3 linked regions of the Macaca fascicularis genome follow. The protein of the gene in region 1 purifies or fractionates together with the protein of each later gene. This does not show direct contact. Links are inferred from orthologs where the notes say so. Each region holds a gene or a part of one and is shown in the gene's direction. Other genes may lie near its edges.

Region 1 (3,564 bases):
CTCAGTTGAAGGAAATCTAGCTAATTCCAACTAACGTGCACTTCTTTTGAATAAAAACCATCAACTTATTTGAATTCTTAAGTTTCCTCCTAAACTCCAACATTTCAGGAGGAAGGGGTCACATGCTAGTCACCTTTGCAATCTCAAACCCAAAGGATGCCTAACTTGGTAAAATGCATGGCACATTCAATGTCTGTTGAATACAAGTAAAGCTCATAGTACCTAGCCTATTTTTCATTATCCCTTGAGTTGAAAACTGGTTAACAAATCAGAGTCACAGTCCTAAGGGCAACAACTTTTTAAAGGCTCACCTAACAAACTGTAGGATCCCTGACTGAGAGTGGCTGACTATGGCAGTATATGGGCATACTAATCACTGGAAGAAATACTCAACAGCGAGAAATAGCCAAGGAAAAGCCCTACTTTTCAAAAATATTTAAAAAACAAAACAAAACAAAACAACTCAACAACTACGAAGACAAAACGCTAGATCTGAGCACCCTGTAAGTCGCTTTCCCGTGGGCCGGGTAAAGATTTTAAAACCCGCCGCCTCCAGGAGGGCGGACACGTGCACAAGGATTAGCTGAAAACTCGGTGCCCAGTCTGGCTGGGAGGATTGCTAAAATCGACCTACCGTTAACACTCTGGCTACTCTGAAATTAGCAGAGCTGTAGTCAAGTAAGTAACCCAAGAAAAGGGGCACAGAGCCGCCGCCGCCGGTGTAGCCCGGGGGCATCCCCTTCTACCTTGCAAACGGGGCCTGGGATCCGGTCCCTCTCTTCTTCCTCCACCTCCTCTGCGGTGGTGTGCCGCTTAGTTGGCGGCGCGGCATCTTTTTCGTTTCTTTTTGGCTTCTTCGCCTGCACTGCCAAGCCTCCACGCCGTTTCCTCTTGGTTGCCGCCATCTTGCCTTACTGCCTGCGCTCTTGGCCTGTTTTCCGGCGTTGCCTCTCGCTCCTCTTTCCGATCTCTATGGTTCGGTGGCTCTAAGCGCTCAGCTACGCGGTTGTCCTCCAGGTCTGCGGTGTCTCCTTCCGGTCTCAGTGGCGCTGCACGCGCGGCTCTCTAGGCCTCCTTCAGCTCTGTGGTGACGGTGGCGGAAGTGGAGGGCAGGTCTGAAGAGTGGCGGGACCGGCTCCACTTCCTACGCGATTTCTCAGAGCTGTCTAGCTCCTCCTCAGGGACTTTCCTGGGAAGGTCTCTCGGGCGTCCAGACCCCACCGCAAAGGTAGGGTGTCCGCACTCGGGGACCCCGAGACTAATAAGCGATGCTGTCCCGCGGGCGGGCTGGTGAATGGGCTTGTGTGGGACTCTTGGGGGATCTTCTGGACACTCTGGGCGCTCCCCCCATCGCCTGTTCTCTTGGAAGCGAGGCTGGTGCCGCGGTCGGATTCATAGCTCCTGTTTGTTTGGCCGGGAGAAGCTGGCCCCAAGCGGAGATACCGTGTCAGTTGCGTGTCTTCATTCTTCACAACTTTTCACGTTATTGTCCTCTTACAGAGACGAGGAAATAGTAACTTAATTTTCCCGCAAAATTACAAAGACAATTAAGTGACATAGGTGGGGTTCGGCCTGGTCAGCTGAGTTCAGCCGCCCAGCCCCCGTCCACCTCTCAGCGCAGGTGGAGCTCGCCGGACCTCGCCTGCACTGATGTGAGTTTTATTGTCCAGTCCCTTCAGGTGTTTCGCGATTCGCCGAGCAGGTGTTGGCCCCAGGAGCATTTCCCTCCGGGCCGAATGCGCAGTGGACTATGCCCCTTCTGACCCAGCAGATCCAAGATGAGGATGATCAGTACAGCCTTGTGGCCAGCCTTGACAACGTTAGGAATCTCTCCACTATTTTGAAAGCTATTCATTTCCGAGAGCATGCCACGTGTTTCGCAACTAAAAATGGTATCAAAGTAACAGTGGAAAATGCAAAGTGTGTGCAAGCAAATGCTTTTATTCAGGTATGGAAGTAGGCGCCTTTAAGCCTGTGCCATAGATATTCTAAATGCAATTTAATGAAATCCGAAGGTTTTAGTAGACATAATAAATAACTTAATACTCATAATAACTTAATAGTCAATAGTCATAATAAATAATAGATAAATAACTTAATAGTCTTACGTTAGAGAACAAACGTCATTACTTGAATTTTTTTTTTCTCTCCCGGTAACAAATTCTTTTCCCATCTTGTTTTACAGAGATAATGGTTAGTAATGACTAAAGTTTATTAAACTAGACTATCGGCTAGGCTACAGTCTTCTTAGTGTTTAACTTATTTAATTTTAACAATAGTCCTATAAGGCAGGTTCTATTGTTATTCCCGTTTTATATATGTGGAAACGAGGCACAATTTTAAGTGATTTGCCAACAGTCCCACAGCTGGTAAGTGGCTGAATTGGGATAAGAACCCTGAACATTTGTTTCCAGAATATCTGCTCTTTTTACCACTGCGATACTACCACCTTGCTGTTACTAAAGAGTATTTTTTTCCCTTTACTGGTTGTAATAGAATTTTTGTTCTTCCAAAGTAATATTTGTGTGGTTCAGATAGGATTGCAAATTCAACTAAGCATTTTTTTTAACACGTAAGTGCACAGCATGACCTCAGGGATAGAGAGGTAAATAAGACATGGTTCTCGTCCTCGTGCGGCAACATGGTATAGTGGCTCACACCTGTATTTCCAGCTGCTCAGGAGACTGAGGCTGAGGCACGAAGATCGCTTGAACTCAGGCATTAAAGACCAGCCTGAGTAACCGTAGTGAGACCCCCGAATCAATAAAAAATAATAATAAAAGTTGTAACTAATATTGCTCATGCATTATCAAGTCATCCGTCTGTTTTCCAAGTGACCTTAGCAGTAGTGATACGCACAAAAACGAGATAAGGGAGAGTCCCAGAGGGATAGTTTTTAGATCCAGGAATGGATATAAGGATGCTTCAAAGGATGTCTCTAAGATGTTTTGATTGCTAATCAGAAATTATTCTCATGGGATTAGCACAGTATTGTATTTTTTAAACATATAAAGTGAAATCTAGGACCTTGTATATTTTCATTCTTTTACATAACAATTTTCATTTTTACTTTTTCCGTAGGCTGGAATATTTCAGGAATTTAAAGTTCAGGAAGAGTCTGTTACTTTTCGAATTAATTTAACTGTCCTTTTAGACTGTTTGTCTATTTTTGGATCAAGTCCTATGCCAGGTAAACTATTATCAGTATAAAGACATAAAAGTGTTATATACAGTGGTCAGAAAAATACAGGAAGTTATTTGGAATATAAACATTTGTTCAGAAAGCTAATGCCAATTCATTTTTCGGTGGCCACAGTCATGGGTTCTAACATTTCACAATGTTAATTGCAAGTATGTTTATAGTTCTTTCATATTTGTAAAAGTATTTACATTCATCTTTTTTTAATTTACAGGGCTTTGAGGGATTTTAAATTTGAACTGGCCAAAAGAATACTTTGGACATGTCTTTAATATCTTTAACATTGTGAAATGTTTTAATTGCTTCTCTTCCCTAACTTGTCCAGAATTACTCAGCTAGTTAGTGGCAGAGAAAAACGAAAGCCA
Region 2 (3,132 bases), on another chromosome or scaffold:
CCCAGCAAAATTCCAGGAAGATTATTTTTAGACTCTGACAAAATATTTTAGAGTTCCTCTGGAGCAATATCTGTGAGAGAATGAGAGAAGTTCTGAAAGATTGTCCTATTCGATATTGAAATATAATATGGAAATTAAATCACTGGTACAGGTGCAAGATAGGGCAGTGGGAGAAAATATAGAGAGGGCCAGGAAACATTGAGACAAAAATGAGAATTTTTTGTCTAAAATAAAATTGACATTTCAGATTAGTGGAGAAGTGGATTGTTTAGTGAATTGTGTGTATCAGCTAGGTATTCGGTACTGCAAGATTTCAACTGAGTCAAACAACTAAGTCATAAAAACAGATAACATTAAAGTACCAGAAACAGGACTTTGAAAGCATGACCCTAGAAGTAGTAGAGAAGAGGTCAATAGGTTTGACATAAAAAAAGATTCAATATTTCCCAAGAGCAAAGAGTACCAAAAACAGTGTGAAAAGTCACATGATAAACTGGGGAAGATATTTACAGTACATGTAATGGACAGAGGGTTAATGTTCTTTCTAGATATCTTGAAATCAAGAAAAATAAACTCAATAAAAAGATGCGAAGGCCATAAAATGGAATTCACACACAGTGCAAGTTGAATTTTTTTTTTTTTTTTGCCTGCCAGAGTGCCACAGATGAAACAGATTGCTAATATCCAGTGTTGCTGGTGGGCTAGAGTGTTCACGCAGCTTTCTGCAGACCAGTTTGAAAATATTTATTAGGATTTTAAAAGTGCATTCATTGACCAGCACTTCACTTCGGAATTTAACGCAAGGAAATACTTGAGTAAATGGGCAAAACTATTTTGTACAAAAATATTCATTGTGTTCATAATAGCAAAAAATTGGAAATCATCTCAATGCCACTTGTATTCTAACTCTATACATTGGAAAACTGAGCAGCCATGAAAATGATGTAGATTTGTTTCACCAACATGGAGAGATGCCTGTTACATATTTAATGTGTGAAGATGAGGTTGTAAAATGTGTGCCTAGTATGCTATTATTTCGTACGACCCGTGGAACTATATCTTCATGTACGATTGATGAAGATGGTATCAGTGTGTATGCCATAGAGATTAAAAGTGGTTAATTTATCTGAGTGATGACTTTGTCTTCATAGTGGCGAGAATACTGAGGAGTGTCAGCAGTGGAATGCCTGCTCTTCTCATAACCGGAGCGGAAACGGAAGCGTTTTGTGAGAGGGCTGGCGGGCAGGTGAGAACGGCGTTGGCGCGCCCGCCCGGCGTCGGCTCCAGGCCTGGGGCTGCGGAAGCCAGAACAGAGCCCGGAACCCGAGTGCCTGCCCTGCTGGGGCCCGGAGGGAGGGCGGGGAGGGCAGCGCCGGGGACCCCAGCGGACCGGAAGGACTTGTGGCACGCGGCATTCCCCTCAGAGGCCCCGAGTTGCCTTCGCTGTGGCGTCATGAAGTTTCGCGCCAAGATCACCGGCAAGGGCCGTCTAGAGCTGTTCATCCACGTCAGCGGCACCGTCGCCAGGCTGGCGAAGGTCTGCGTGCTCCGCGTGCGCCCTGACAGCCTGTGCTTCGGCCCCGCGGGCTTCCGCGGCCTCCGTGAGGCCGGGCTGTGGTGCGAGGCCGGGCTGTGGTGCGAGGTGCGGCGGGGAGCCTTCCAGCAGTTTCACATGGAAGGTGTCTCGGAAGAGCTCGATGAGATCCACCTGGAGCTGACGGCGGAGCACCTGTCCAGGGCGGCGAGAAGCGCGGCGGGCGCGTCCTCCCTGAAGCTGCAGCTGACCCACAGGCGCCGCCCCTGCCTCACGGTGGCGGTGGCGCTGGCCTCGCCCCTGGGCCGCGCTCGCAGCGTGGTGCACGATCTGCCCGTGCAGGTGCTTCCCCGGAGAGCGTGGCGAGACTGCCCGCCGCCCAGCCTGCGCGCCGCCGACGCGAGCATCCACCTGCCGCGCTGGAGGACGCTGAGGAGCATCGTGGAGAGGATGGCGAACGTGGGCGATCACGTGCTGGTGGAAGCAAACCTCAGGGGCAGGATGACCCTGAGTATGGAGACGGAGGTGGTGTCCATTAAAAGTTACTTTAAAAATCTTGGAAACCCTCCGGAGTCGGCTGGTGTGCCTCCACACAGAGACCTGGAGAGCGTGGTGCAAGTGCGGGTAGATAATCGGAAGCTCCTGCAGTTTTTGGAGGGACAGCAAATAAATCCCACGATGGCCTTATGCAATATTTGGGACAATAGTCTTCTTCAGCTTGTTTTGGTTCAAGGAGATGTCTCTCTCCAGTATTTCATTCCTGCTTTGTAAAAATTCAGCCAGCGTAGATTTGTTTTTTTTAAGCTTATGATCTTTTCAAAACTGAAACAGACCCTGAGTTAATTGGGTTGAAAGTTTGCACCTTCTCTGACTTATACAGGGCGTATATTTTGTGGAGCCCTTCCTCCTTTGCAAAATTTGTATTAAAGCATTGATAAAACAGTTGGGTAGTTTATGTTTTTGTTTGTTGGGTTTGTCAGGTTTTTTTTCCTGCTTAAGATTCTAACAAGTAAATTATTCTTCAACTTTTTTTCGGGGGGAAAAACAGGGTTGTAATGAAATAAATATTTTTGAATCCTGAAACAATTGCATCAGTATTTTATTATAAAATGCTGCTGTGTAAAGCAGGAAAGTTCTCATTTTAAAATATGCATAAATGTTTTCCGAGGGTATTTCTTATGTAGAGAGCTGAATATATCTGCAAGATGAAAGGTATTTAGCGTGTGTGCGCATTACATATTCTTTGTTAAGCTGTGTTTTGTCATAGGATATATCAAAGAATGTATCAGTATACATGGTTTTGAGATTTATTATCTACATAGTTTGAATTGCTTATTTATTAGATTCATTTTTCACAATTTTTCACATGTATCATACTCACATTAGGAATCAAGGAAATATAGGCATATCTCAGAGATATTCCAAGTTTGGTTCCACACCACTGCAAAAAGCAAATATTGCAATAAAGACAGATGAGTTTTTGGATTTTCAGTACATATAAACCTTATGTTTGCATTACACTGTAGTCTGTTGAGAGTACAATAGTACTATGTCTAAAAAAGTACACATCTTAATTTTAAAATACTTCATTGGTAAAA
Region 3 (4,179 bases), on another chromosome or scaffold:
CGAGCCTGGCCCTCAATTTCTAATTCAGTATTTTCCTCACTACCTATACTATTACGGAATCTTGTGATCTACAGGGAAGGCATTCAAGTTCTGGTTCTACTGAGTAATCTGAGTCTGAGTAAAGTGATTGTATTATCTATTTCACAGGACTGATGTATAAGAAAGATGATGAATCAAAACTCTAGTGCCTGGCAGGGAGGATTTTGCTCCATAGGTATTTGCTTCCTTCCTAAGGTTGTAGGGAACATGATGACATAACGCCTATGAAAGAGGGCTGTAAACGTAAAGATCTGTACAAATGTTAACTTCATTGTCACCCGTCAGCCAACGCTTCTAAAATCCAGAACATAACAACTCTAGAGAAGTAAACTGCCCCCATTGTTCTGAGACACTGGAATTCAATTCAGTAAACAATCACGGCCCCCTTCCCCCAAAATGATAAAGACAATCACTGCCATTTATTGAGCTTCCAATTACAGCCCCTCTGTTTGGCACTGGGAACACAAAGATGAATAGACATCATCCCAGAGCTAGATGCGCGTCAGACGGTGGTCACTAGGAGGCGCGGCCGCAAACAAAGGAGTCCATGGAACGTGTACAGAGGCTGTGGGCGCTCCTAGGAGAGTCTGGCCAAGTGCCTCAGAGTTGGAAGTGCCTCACCAAGAAACAACATTTGCCCAGGGCATTGTAGCATGGGCACGGGTTCGGCAGAAGAACTTTCCAGATAAAGATAACACACCACAGATAACAGATACAAACTGGAAGGTATTCAAAATACGCCCCACGCCTCTCATTCTTACAAATCGCGAGCTCAGAAACCTAAGAAACCATGAACTCCTAAGGAGTTCATGACAAGGGGTTTCCCCCTTCCCCACCCTTCAGCCCAAGACGGAGTTTCCAGGAGCGTCTAGCCCTCTGGATCTCTGGCGTCTGAGGAGAGAAGCGCGGTGTGGGTCAGACCCCGAGGGGTCCTCGCATCTCCGTCGGGAACTCCCCTTAACCCTCTCACCATTTTGCCCCGCGCAGGCTAATCCGCCGCTCTGCCACCGGAAGCACACGTCCGCAGGAGCAGGCGCCTAGCACAACCGGAAAAGGAAGTGCCTCCGGCGCAAGTGGCATTGGGGGACTTGTAGTCCTGCGATTTCGGGTGTAGCGGGAGCAGGGGCCTGCGGGGACTTGGTGTGGGTGGAGTAGGGACAAGCGGTGGAGAAGAGTACGCCACGGTCGCTGAGAGACTCTGTTCTCCCTGGAGGGACTGGTTGCCATGAGAGTAGCCGTCTGAGGGGACGCAGCCTGCACTACACTCCCCAAGAGGCTGTGCGTGGCGGGCAGGTCACGTGATGGGAGCGCGGGCTTTGGAAGGCGGTTGAGCGTCAGGCGACCCGCCGCTAAGCTGAGGAGGGAGATCAGGTTTAGGAACCGCCTGCCCGGGCCAACCCCGAACAAAGCTTTAGCTGCCGAGGCCTCGTGTCTCAAAGGCCAGGTGAGACCCCATGGGAAGCGCCTCCGGGGGCGACGGGGTCCGCTTGGCGCTGGGGCCGTGGGGAGCCGGGGTGTGGAGTGCGCGTGATATGCAGTCAAGCGGTCCGGCCACTTTTCCCCCTGTGAGCCGTGGGCCAGTCGCGTAAGCTCCGAGCCTCTCTTTCCTCCATTGTAGAAAGGCGGTAATAAGTTCCACCTTATGGGGTCGTGTTGTATTTTTCCTAAGACCTTGGACGAGAAAGAGTTCTGACACTTGAGTTGTTTAGCCCCTATCCTGCCTGCCTGCCTGTCTGTGGGACGCCGCAAGGGGATCAAGGGCTACACGGCCTGGTCCTCAGTCAACATTCCAGCAGGGCCGCCGGCTTGACGCAAGAGCCGAAGGGTTGAACAGGCCTGGAGAGGGGACATTAGGGGTTTCCGTCTGTTGTCTCAGTTAACCCTGGTAGCAGCCCTGAGAGACAATCATGGTAATCGTTCTTCATAAACCTCAGTGGCTTGGTAATGTCACACGGATGGAAAATGCCGCGCCTGGATTCAAGGCCAGAGCTTTCGCCGTTGCAATTCACAGGGGAATTATTCATATTAATCAAATGAATAATTCATTATCAATTAATTATTAATTGATTAATAATCCAGGGATGGACCTGGAAGGACGCGTGAGAGGATGGCGAGAGGAGGGCACAGCTAAGGAAAAGTTGAAAAAGGCGGGCCTTATTCCAGCTTTCTGTTGAGATCCCAGAATGTAAGGTTAGGTTGGGAACCAGAACATGAAAGATCGTGACGCCATGCTGAAGTGTTTGGACTGAATTAGAAGGAAGAATTGAACAGTCATTGATGCTCTAGAAAGAACCCTGTGAAGGAAGAATGGGAACAATGAAAAGTCCTGGTGGAGTCTTCCATTTCTTCTTTCTCTTTTGTTTTGATTTGTCTTTTCTTCTTTTCTTGACAAGGTCTTGCTCTGTTGCCCAGGCTGGAGTGTGGTGGCACAATCATAGCTCACTGCAGCTTGTTACTCCTAGGCTTATGTGATTCTCCCATGATGGCCTCCCAAAGTACTGGGATTACTGGCCAGCGCCTCTTTGCCTGGCCCTGGTAGAATATTTCTTGGAGTATTGGACACATACCGCCAGTGGGTACAGGATGAGTTTTTATTTTTTGAGACGGAGTCTCACTATGTCACTAGGCTGGAGTGCAGTGGCACAATCTCGGCTCACTGCAGTCTGTGCCCCCTGGGTTCAAGTGATTCTCCTGCTTCAGCCTCCCTAGTAGCTGGGATTACAGGTGTGCGCCACAACACCCAGCTAATTTTTTTTTTTTTTTGTATTTTTAGTAGAGAGGGGGTTTCACCGTGTTGCCCAGGATGGCAAGATGATTTTAAATTGCACCTCCTAAAAATCCTTTTTAATAGTTATATATTTAACACATATTAAAATATAACTAATAGAACACAAATATTATTGCTTATGAGTTTTCCAGTTTAGTTTTTAAAAAAAAATTCTAAGTGAATGAAAGTACAGGTTTTAGTTGGAAGTGGCAAAAATCGTGAGGGTGATTTGGGAAACACTGCTATCTGGGAAACACTGAACTCTGAAGTGCAATACTTTTTTGAGCCCAGTGACTATAGCATGCCAGACCCCTAAATCAGGACCTGGGGAGGAGCCATGGAGTTAACATTTCAGACTGAGTAGTGGAGGGAAAACGCAAAGGGAAAGACTTGAAACTCTAGTAACATCATAATAAAAGTAGAAACTCTTATGTGCTGAGGCGATGATGAAGAGAGTTTAGAGAAGCTTGTGAGAAAGCCACATCACCTCCATTCAGATATGTTTGCAATCCTTTTTCAAGACTGCCTTATCAGTCAGGGTTCTCCAGAGACTCAAAACAAATCAGATCTATTTGTTTAGCTGGTATTTGCCTTTCAGGTCTGCCATTATGGTCCCTGGACTCCTCAAGCTGGGCTGGGCACCCTGGCCTTCTGTGGTCCTTGATAGAGACCCATGTTGTAGGGTTTTTTTGTATAATAAATAATGCTGCTACCTTAGAATATCAACAATATCTTATTTCTCTAAGCACCTGGTTCTATTTCTGGTACTCATTAAGCCTTACTATTGAGTAAATTCTGCTAGACTGAGTTTTTTGAGAATGAGGACTTTGTCTTGTTCGTCTTTAGCAGTGCTGACTTGTCCTTTTTGTTGTGTGGAATTTAGTTGAAGGCATGAAGTTGGTGAGATAACACCAATTATAACCCTTCTCCTTTCCTCCGTCTCTGACTTGCCTTTCTTTTTTAGTCATTCCTCCTCTGTGTTGCCATGGGAATTCAAGGCCTGGCCAAACTAATTGCTGATGTGGCCCCCAGTGCCATCCGGGAGAATGACATCAAGAGCTACTTTGGCCGTAAGGTGGCCATTGATGCCTCTATGAGCATTTATCAGTTCCTGATTGCTGTTCGTCAGGGTGGGGATGTGCTGCAGAACGAGGAGGGTGAGACCACCAGCCACCTGATGGGCATGTTCTACCGCACCATTCGCATGATGGAGAATGGCATCAAGCCCGTGTATGTCTTTGATGGCAAGCCGCCACAGCTCAAGTCAGGTGAGCTGGCGAAACGCAGTGAGCGGCGGGCTGAGGCAGAGAAGCAGCTGCAGCAGGCTCAGGCTGCTGGGGCCGAGCAGGAGGTGGAAAAATTCACTAAGCGAC

The links. Proteins that work in one complex are often made in the same cells at the same time.
Region 2: the proteins of RAD1 (region 1) and HUS1B purify together in Homo sapiens (co-immunoprecipitation; 3 studies listed by BioGRID and IntAct, counting the BioPlex papers as one, with this or other methods). This does not show direct contact. The link is inferred for Macaca fascicularis from reciprocal best matches to the Homo sapiens genes RAD1 and HUS1B.
Region 3: the proteins of RAD1 (region 1) and FEN1 purify together in Homo sapiens (affinity purification with western blotting; 3 studies listed by BioGRID). This does not show direct contact. The link is inferred for Macaca fascicularis from reciprocal best matches to the Homo sapiens genes RAD1 and FEN1.

Annotation. Positions count from the first base shown.
Region 1 is NC_088380.1:35,205,529-35,209,092, reverse strand, and holds part of RAD1 (cell cycle checkpoint protein RAD1), read left to right. Parts: intron 1-746; coding exon of another isoform or gene 747-905; exon of another isoform or gene 906-933; intron 934-1,111; exon of another isoform or gene 1,112-1,228; intron 1,229-1,670; 5' UTR 1,671-1,750; coding exon 1,751-1,948; intron 1,949-3,081; coding exon 3,082-3,190; intron 3,191-3,564. Other genes in the region: BRIX1 (ribosome biogenesis protein BRX1 homolog), read right to left, coding at 747-905. UniProt on the Homo sapiens protein: Component of the 9-1-1 cell-cycle checkpoint response complex that plays a major role in DNA repair. The 9-1-1 complex is recruited to DNA lesion upon damage by the RAD17-replication factor C (RFC) clamp loader complex.
Region 2 is NC_088378.1:172,426,046-172,429,177, forward strand, and holds HUS1B (checkpoint protein HUS1B), read left to right. Parts: upstream 1-1,253; 5' UTR 1,254-1,453; coding exon 1,454-2,305; 3' UTR 2,306-2,617; downstream 2,618-3,132.
Region 3 is NC_088388.1:12,241,620-12,245,798, reverse strand, and holds the start of FEN1 (flap endonuclease 1), read left to right. Parts: upstream 1-1,364; 5' UTR 1,365-1,483; intron 1,484-3,770; 5' UTR 3,771-3,791; coding exon 3,792-4,179. Other genes in the region: dolichyl-diphosphooligosaccharide--protein glycosyltransferase subunit TMEM258, read right to left, coding at 1,010-1,012. UniProt on the Homo sapiens protein: Structure-specific nuclease with 5'-flap endonuclease and 5'-3' exonuclease activities involved in DNA replication and repair.